2 linked regions of the Rattus norvegicus genome follow. Each later gene encodes a partner of the first gene's protein in a complex. Links are inferred from orthologs where the notes say so. Each region holds a gene or a part of one and is shown in the gene's direction. Other genes may lie near its edges. The genes, in order: Arpc3 and Arpc5.

Region 1 (4,509 bases):
GTCTGAAAGGTGCTGTGGGTCTAGAAGCAGACATGGGTATTCCAGTCTGAGGGACTGCCGTAAGAAAGGACTAGGAGACAGCAATGCACTGCATTCTGAGGAAGGTGCTTGGTAATAATGAGTTCATTATGTTCCAGGTATATGGTGGGCAAGATGGCTGGTCAGGTCCTGTTGCCACGCCTGATAATCCAAACTCCATCCCTGGGGCCTGTGTGGTGGAAGGAAAGCCCATTCACAAAAGTTGCCTTCTGACCTCAGGACAAGTTTGCACACAACAAGGGATTTAAAATGTAACTGACTACAAAGCAAGTTCTAGACTAGCCAGGGCTACACAGCGAGACTCTCAAAATACTTAGATGATATATGATGGGGTCAGTGGTAGGTCTGTTTCCACCCTTTCAGACATGTGGCATCACCTGGGCCCTTATAATACTTGGTTTTCTTGCCCACCTAGTCCTTACCGTGATCAGGAAAGACCTAACACCATACCGTGTTGAAAGAGTAGGGATGGGGCAGGAGAGATGGCTCAGCGGTTAAGAGCACTGACTGCTCTTCTAGAGGTCTGAGTTCAATTCCCAGCAACCACATGGGGACTCACAACCATCTGTCATGGGATCTGATGCCCTCTTCTGCTGTGTCTGAAGATAGCTACAGTGTATTCATACATGAAATAAATAGATAAATATTTTTTTAAAAAGTAGGGATGATATATGATACACATTTTGTGGATGGCAGGTCAAGGGGTAGGGAGACAGAGATACCACCGTAGGCATTATAAAACAGCAAAATAAAATAACGGAGTAGTGGAGCACACATCTGTAATTCCTGAACACAAGTGGAGACAGATAAGTTCATGTTCATATATATGTATATGCCAGCCTCGACTTCTTGTGACTCTTAACAACATAAACATTGAAAAATAAAAATAATGGCCGCCGGGGCTGGGGATTTAGCTCAGTGGTTAGAGCGCTTACCTAGGAAGCGCAAGGCCCTGGGTTCGGTCCCCAGCTCCGAAAAAAAGAACAAAAAAATAATAATAATAATAATAATGGCCGCCAAGTCTGCTTAGTGTGCAAGAGTTTCTGAAAACAGTTTATCCCGAGTCTCATAATGGGAAGTCAGATCTCACTTCCCCCACTTCCCCCACTTGCACTGTGGTTAAATTAAAAAAAAAAATAGACATGGCAGAAGGGTAAATCGGGGAACTGAGTGTTATTGGCTTTGAAGCTGAAGCCAGGGAATAAGGAAAAAACGGGAGTTGATTATTAACCACTTGAGAGGGATTCTTCAATTCTAAAGCCCATCCATTTTTTCTGAGTGCGTTTTACGCATGCGCCACACTCAGAGCTTACTGCTGGCGCGCCCCCTGGCATTCATTGCGATCAGTGCAGCTGTAGCAAACAGCGGAAGCGGGTCCGGAAGTGCGTTTATTCGCTTCGCCCGCCTCTTCCGGCTTATTTCCGCCCACTCCACCCAGTCTAGTTTGCCGGAAACGCTGCTCCGCTTTACCTGGGTTCAGCATCTCTAGATCGAATCCGGACACCGACAAAATGCCGGTAAGTCTTCGAGCCCCAAGGTCGGGGAGCCGAGCGGGGCGAGGGCCTGAGGGGAGGCGGGAGACCTGCGTCAAAAGGCCTGGGGGAGAGGAAACCGCCCTGCTCTCTAGCCCCGGTCCTTTGCCTCCAGCACCGGCTCTCTCGCCCCGCTGCTTCCACTCCCAAACCCCCAGTCCTGCAGTGTTCCCAGGTCCCACTCTAGAGCCTCAAACCTAAAAATGATGGCTTTTATTTTTAAACCTAGGGTCCAGCTTCTCCCCCCCCCCCCCCCCCGCTCTTGTCATGTCCACTTCCTCCTCCGCCCCAGGGAGTGAGTCGGCCTGCTGCTAATCACCTGTCAGACTTCACTTCCCTGATGGACCCCTTCCATCGTCCTCCCTGCTGTAACTCCCACCCAACTCCCAGACCACCACTGAGTCAGCGCTAGTTTCCAGGAGTTTCCTTTTCCGTGTGCATCCGAGTGGGAGGAAATTGATGCCGATTGCACATTATAAAGGGACGCTTGAATAAGGTCTACCTTCATTGGACAAGTGTTACTACTGAACTCTCACTGGGAAGCCAGCACTGTTAACAGCAGCAGCTAAGGCCCTCTCGGGGAGCTGATACTTTAACGGAGAAACAATAACCGCGTAAATATAAATAGGAAGTAGCTTCAGATCTTAACAAACGCTGTGAAGAAAATAGATCGATGGCAACGATGGTGGCAATTATTTCATCCCAAAACTTGAAGGCAGAGGCAGGAGAATAGCAAATCTCAGATCAGTGTGGACTGTGTGTGTAGTGAGTTCTAGGTCAGCCTGGGTTACATAGCTGTAAGAAATGGAGAGAGGCAAAAAAAAAAAAAAAAAAATACTGGGGAAAGAGCTTGTTGTGCGGGAGTATAGCAGATCATGCTTCTGACCCCAGCTCTGTTGAGGCAAAGGACAGTCAGATCCTCCGAGTTCATTGGCCAGCCAGCCTAGCCAAAAATCAGCAAGTTCTGGGTTCAGTAAGAGACACTGTCACACACACAAATACATAGTAGGACTGAGGAGGTGTCTCAGTGGCACAAGTGTGAAGACCTGAGTTTGGATGCCTAGCACCCAAGTAAAACAGCCAGGGGAGGCAGCTCCTGTGGGCAATTCCAGAGCTGGGGATGTATAGAGATCCCTGAGGCTCCCAGTCTGAAAAATAAAGTGAAAAGCAGTGAAGAAAGAGACCTGTGGCCTCCAGCTGGGGACATACACATACGTACCAGTATGCGCGCGCGCGCGCGTGCACACACACACACACACACACACACACACACACACACACACACACACGGGCATGCATGATCATGTGCAAAAAGTAAAACCAAACCAGTGCCTGATGACGGGTTGGGGGAACAAGGGACCTGGGGATGTGGGCAAGAGGTTGGCATAGGTAAGGCTTCTTAGGGCAAGCATAACCTTGAGCTGTGTGTGTGTTTGGGCAGCAGTGGGGAACTGAACCCAGGGCCCCATGGCATGCTACATACACAGATGCTCTACCACCGAGCTAGATTCCCGTGTCTTTCTTATTTTTGTAAAGGGGTCTCATAAAGTTGCCCAGGCTGGCCTTGAATTTGTTATCCTCCTGCCTCAGTTTTCCATGCAGCTAGGATCGCAAGCCTGCCTGGCATCACCATGTTTAGCCTTGGAAGATTTATGATTTTTATGGTTTCTGACTATTGAGGTACATGTGAAAACCCAGAGTTATTGTCCAAAGAGCCCCCAACTCTCAGGATGACAGTGTAAAAGAGATGTCCATGGCATTAATATCCTGCTGAAGGACTTGGGGCTCAGCAAAATTCAATGACTTGGGCAATGTTTTGTGGGGTTTTTTTTTTTTTTTTTTTTTTAAGATTTATTTATTTATTTATTTATTTACTTATTTGTATGGGTACAGTGTGGCTATCTTCAGACATGCCAAAGAGGGCATCAGACCCCATGACAGATGGTTGTGAGCCACCATGTGGGTGCTGGGATTTGAACTCAGGACCTCTGGAAGAGCAGTCAGTGCTCTTAACCACTGAGCCATCTCTCTCACCCAACCTAGCAGTGTTGCTCATGAGTAGTGAAGCCAAAGTTAAAGCTAGAACTGAAAAGCTCTGTGTGCAAGCCAGGTGGACACAGAACGAATGCTCTAGACTTAGTCTGTGATTGCTTATTTGGTCTGCTTTCTCTGTTAGCTGGAAACATCGTATATATAGCTTCATATCAGGAGAGACGGTTCAGCTTGCTGCTATTGGAAACACATGCACAAGGCGCCATGAGCTGGACCCAAACTGGGCTATCAAGCACACTGACCTGGGAATCAGTGCGGTTCTTGTCTCTTCTCCATTAGCTGGGGTCTAGCCTCATAGCCTTTCATGGCTGGCAAGTTTTAAGAGAATCTTCACGTAGGACGTGAAGGGCAGGGCGAAAGGGTGGACCCCTCAGGCCCTGGAGTTGCAGCAATGCAGACACATCTCAGGATAACAGAAGTGTTACCAGGTGGTGAGATGAAAAACCACCTAAGGGTTGGAGAGATGGCTCAGTGGTTAGGAGCACTGGCTGCTCTTCCAGAGGTCCTGAGTTCAATTCCCAGCAACCACAATTCTGTTCCAGCGTCCATACCCAGCAATTCATAGCTGCCTAGTTCCAGCTCCAGGGACCCCAGCGCCATCTGCTGGAGTGCGTGGATACTGTATACATACAGAAATACCCGTCCGCAGATACAAGCGTACACACAATTAAGATTATTTTTTAATCTTTAAAAAAAAAAGTCACACTGTCACTCGTATCTTGCACAGAAAAGGTGCCGAGCGGTCATTTGATGAATGAATGAATGAATGAATGAATGAATGGTTTCGTTCACACAAGACATGAAAAGCTAGTGGGAACCTGAGTAGAGCTTAGTTGGTAGAGCAAGCAGTTGCCTAGGGTGCCTGAAGCCCTGGTTTAGTCGCCAG
Region 2 (4,330 bases), on another chromosome or scaffold:
CGCAGAATTTTAGAGTCTTTTTTAAGTATTTCTGCGAATTGAACCCTGGGGGCATTCTTGGGAAAAGCACATTAGCCCAATTTTGGCAATAAGAAATCCGAGGTTCCAAATTTTAAGCAACGTGCCTCAATCTCGCAGATTATGAGAGCAAAAAAGTCGAAACTCAGCCACTGCTTTCTGATCCCAAGCCCAGTGCTCTTTTTCAGTACTGCACAACAAACGAGGTAACTCAACAGGATGACATCCAGCCTTCTGCTGTTTGTGAAACCAGGTAGATCTGCATCTAAGCAGAGCATAGCCAAGTGTCTGAATTAATTTTATTTTGTAAATACGTGTACGACAGTATAATGCACAGAGCACAGCTATTATTTGTTTAATCTTAGTGCCTCTGACGGGAATGTGGAATATCGCAAAAAAGCTGATCTGGCGTGCCTTAAACAATAAATAACAACCTTGAAAGTCCAGTTTCTATTAATCCTTGCACACGCTATTTTCCCTCAGCGCCAGCGCTGAAAAGCCTAACTCGCCCACCCTCTTCTGGCATTCTTGCTCCAAATAACTACTTATTTTAAGATGTGATGACTGATTCTAGAAAATGCTACAAGTTTGCCCCAATTTCGCTACCCGTCCCCAGCCCCGGCCCAAGCATCTTTTCCCTCCCTCCAGATGGAGAGAATACCGAGTTGAGATTCTGCAGGTCCGGCCGCGATGCTGTCCCCCAGCACTGACAGGTAAGAAGTGACCTTTCGACTCCGTCCTTGGGGACCTCCCACCGACAGCGTGCCAAGATCCCAAGCCCCGGAAGGGGCTCTCAGCTCTGGAACGCAGCCCCCGGCGGCGCTCGGTCCGAATGGAGGGCTCCGATCACTAGTTTCGTGCTGGGCATCACTCCGCCTCATTCTCCCGCTGACTGCAGGGGACTAGGTTCTGCAGCCAGTCCATCCCACCCCACGCTTAAGTCCGACCACCCACACTTCACACCGGACCCCAACAACAAGCGGCTGGCACCGACGGCGGCAGCACTCCAGGCCACGCGCCCCAAGTGCCCATAGCCTCCAGCCCAAGACCCCCCGCAAGGCTGGACCGCAGAAAAGCGTTTCTATGGGAACCTCCCGGGTGTCACGTGACGCTCCCCGGCGGCCAATCAAGTCTCCCGCTCCGCCTCAGCCCGCTTTCTGTCCGCCCGCCGCCCCCGCCTCTCTCCCTCCAACCCCGCCCCTTTCCTGCAGCGGGCCCGCGCGTGCGCCGTGCGTCCCGCGCGCTCCCTGGCCGACGCGCGCTCCCGGGGGACGCGGGGGCGGAGCGGGGGCTGAAGGATGGCTGGAAGCTGAGGAGGAAGCCGCGCCGGCTAGCGCGCAGGCCCAGAAGCGAGCAAGCAGCGGCTGCCGGCGACGCCCCAGAGCGGAAGAGGGAAGTGAGTCGGACAAGGCTAGGCTCGCTGAAGAAGAGGCACCGCGGAGGGGAGGCCAGAGTTGCATCGCGATCCGGGATGTCGAAGAACACGGTGTCGTCGGCCCGCTTCCGGAAGGTGGACGTGGACGAATATGATGAGAACAAGTTCGTGGACGAGGAGGACGGCGGCGATGGCCAGGCCGGGCCCGACGAGGGCGAGGTGGACTCATGCCTACGGCAATATCCTTACGCTCGCGGCGGCCTGGGGTTGCGGGGACACGGGGACACGCGGCCAGCTGTGCCCGGCTCTAGGTGGGGACGGAGGGCAGGAGGTCCCGGGGCTATCAGGCCGCCTGCACCCCGCGGCCGCGCCTGCGAACTTGCCGGCGCCCCGATTCCTCAGGTGCGCTGTCCTAAGCGGCCGCACCCTCTCGGGGGGGCACCGGATGACGCCCTAGTGGGCACCTGAGCTCCAAAAATTCCTGCCCGGTGGGGACACGGGTCCCGCCTGGAGTCTTGCTATTCTGTCGGGTGTGTGTGATTTGCGGAGCGGGCATAGTTTATTCTAGCCAGGAGAGATGGAACAAATTGAGGCCCTCCGTACATTCAGCCCATGAGCTTTTTCCATCAGCAGTGTTATTTATTAAAAGAAGAGGGTTTGGGCAAGGTTGCATATAATTTATGAACAGGCTGAAGGGAGTTTTCTAATCCAAAATTCCCAGGTAAGGCTTTGAGCCTTTCACCTGCTAAGAAAAGGCTACTAGGAAAAGGATAGGGAATGCATGTAGAGAATCCCTGGGAATAATTTAAGATGAACCCCAGTGAATAAAGCAGAGAATGAGTCACTTCTATAAATCAAAATCGTTTTTCTGAAATTGTTTCCAGGCTAGTTAAAATATGGCTGTCAGTTCCTGGTTCCTTGGTTTGCATATCTGAATATTCATAACCTTGAAAATCATTTGCATTGATCCCTTAGAAAAATAGAAATGTCACAAAACCCCAAATTGGAGCTTTAGAAAACTCGTATTCATTAAGTCTGTAGATACATATCTCCCTCATCGATTTTCTACTAGATTATGATGAAGAAGTAAGCAGAAATATTTAGTGGTAACCACAGCATCGAATATATACATATATGTGCCATATACGTTTAACTTTCATTACCACTACTTCCACATTGGTTGCTACTAATTTATTTATTAAAATACTTGGGATTTTTTTCTTTAAAAAGTGTTCTTTAAGAGACTATGCAGGCTTGACAGTAGTTTATCACTAACTGTAGATAATTTTTATTAGACCTTTTCCACAGAAGTGGTGAGTTTATTCTTCGTTTAAAGAAATCTTTATGGTGGATATGATATTTTATTAAACTAATGTATTTTAGGTAATTTCTGGTGATTATTATGACTGTATCCATTATTAATTCAGTCTACCTTTTCATCAATCCATCTTATCCAAATATAAAGGTACTGTCTCTGGTTATAACTAGGAGCGGCAGCCCCGGTTGGGTACTACAGATGGAGGAACAAGTGACTCTGGTTCTCCTTTTAGGGAAATGACTGTCTTTTCTGACAGTCTGATTGGCCTTCCGTTTCCCGTGCTTGCTAACTCATTAGTGCTTTCAGTACGAAGTAGGTATGGAGGGTCCAGCCCAGTTTGAATAACCTGTAGGAAATAAAGTAAGCTGCCACCTACAGGTCGTGTGGGTTATTACATCATCTGGAGCCCTGTTCATCAATATGCAGCTATCACGGCCTGTCCCACTCTGATTGCCAGAGTAATCTGCCAGCACCTCAGTTAATACACAGTGTAGTTTCAGTATCAAGTTTAGGCTTGTTTTCCAGTAAGAATCACGCAGACAGGATGGAATACTTTGTTGGTAAACTGCATCATTCGATGGCTTAATTCTTAGGCATATTCTAAGACTTCTTGAATACCTGTCTAGACAATTGTGTGTATTTCCCTGGAAAGTGTAATCTCTTTGGTTGACAGAACAGGTCAGAACAATCTTTGCTTTTAAAAAAAATCATATTCTTAAGCGCAAGGCCCTGGGTTCGGTCCCCAGCTCCGAAAAAAAGAACCAAAAAAAAAAAATCATATTCTTTTAATTTCATTATTTTAACCTTTGGTTGACATATTGGAAAGAAACCCATACAGTTAATGACCATAGTAGTTTTTGTTACTGTTCACAAAGTCAAGTCTAACCCACCAGTCCCATAAAGTGGGGCTGCCTTTTTTTTGGTTCTTTTTTTCGGAGCTGGGGACCGAACTCAGGGCCTTGCACTTCCTAGGCAAGCGCTCTACCACTGAGCTAAATCCCCAACCCCGGGGCTGCCCTTTCTGTTATGCCCTTAACCTTCACTACAGGAAACATGACCGCTGCCCTACAGGCCGCTCTGAAAAACCCCCCCATTAACACAAAGAGCCAGGCAGTGAAGGTGAGTGGTAAACTACAGCGTTAATCCCTTCTGCTTCGCTATTATCAAAGTCCTCTGACACCTACCTTCAATGACCATTTTAACTATTTACTGTGCTTGACACGAGGGTTTACAGTGTGACTTTTGTTTTGAGACTGGACCTGAGTCTATAACCTGGCCTGAAACTTGCAGAGATCTCCCGCCTCCACTGGGATTAAAGGCATGCACCACCACATCCAGCCCGAAAGGAAGCCCCTGCTAAGTAGAACGGTCATGGAAAATAGGGCTGACATGTGGTTAGGACGCGTGGAGCACAGTAAACAGAAAGGGTGGGGACACCAGCTCTGTGTGTGCTTAAGGAGCAATCTGCTCGAGTTGAATTCAAACAGGTTCAAAAAACACTCAGCTGCCTCTTAATTCCCTAAGTTTTTCTTAATTATGTAAATATGAAATATCAGAATCAAAGGCATGAGCGCATAAAAAGGTGGTTTCCGTGCTACTTCCTCGGGTCACAGCTACTG

The links.
Region 2: Arpc3 (region 1) and Arpc5 share a complex: the UniProt entries of both Homo sapiens proteins name them as parts of the arp2/3 complex. The link is inferred for Rattus norvegicus from reciprocal best matches to the Homo sapiens genes ARPC3 and ARPC5.

What each region holds. Positions count from the first base shown.
Region 1 is NC_086030.1:39,844,368-39,848,876, reverse strand, and holds the start of Arpc3 (actin-related protein 2/3 complex subunit 3), read left to right. Parts: upstream 1-1,440; 5' UTR 1,441-1,550; coding exon 1,551-1,556; intron 1,557-4,509. UniProt on the Homo sapiens protein: Component of the Arp2/3 complex, a multiprotein complex that mediates actin polymerization upon stimulation by nucleation-promoting factor (NPF).
Region 2 is NC_086031.1:67,452,952-67,457,281, forward strand, and holds the start of Arpc5 (actin-related protein 2/3 complex subunit 5), read left to right. Parts: upstream 1-1,427; 5' UTR 1,428-1,489; coding exon 1,490-1,632; intron 1,633-3,757; coding exon 3,758-3,830; intron 3,831-4,330. UniProt on the Homo sapiens protein: Component of the Arp2/3 complex, a multiprotein complex that mediates actin polymerization upon stimulation by nucleation-promoting factor (NPF).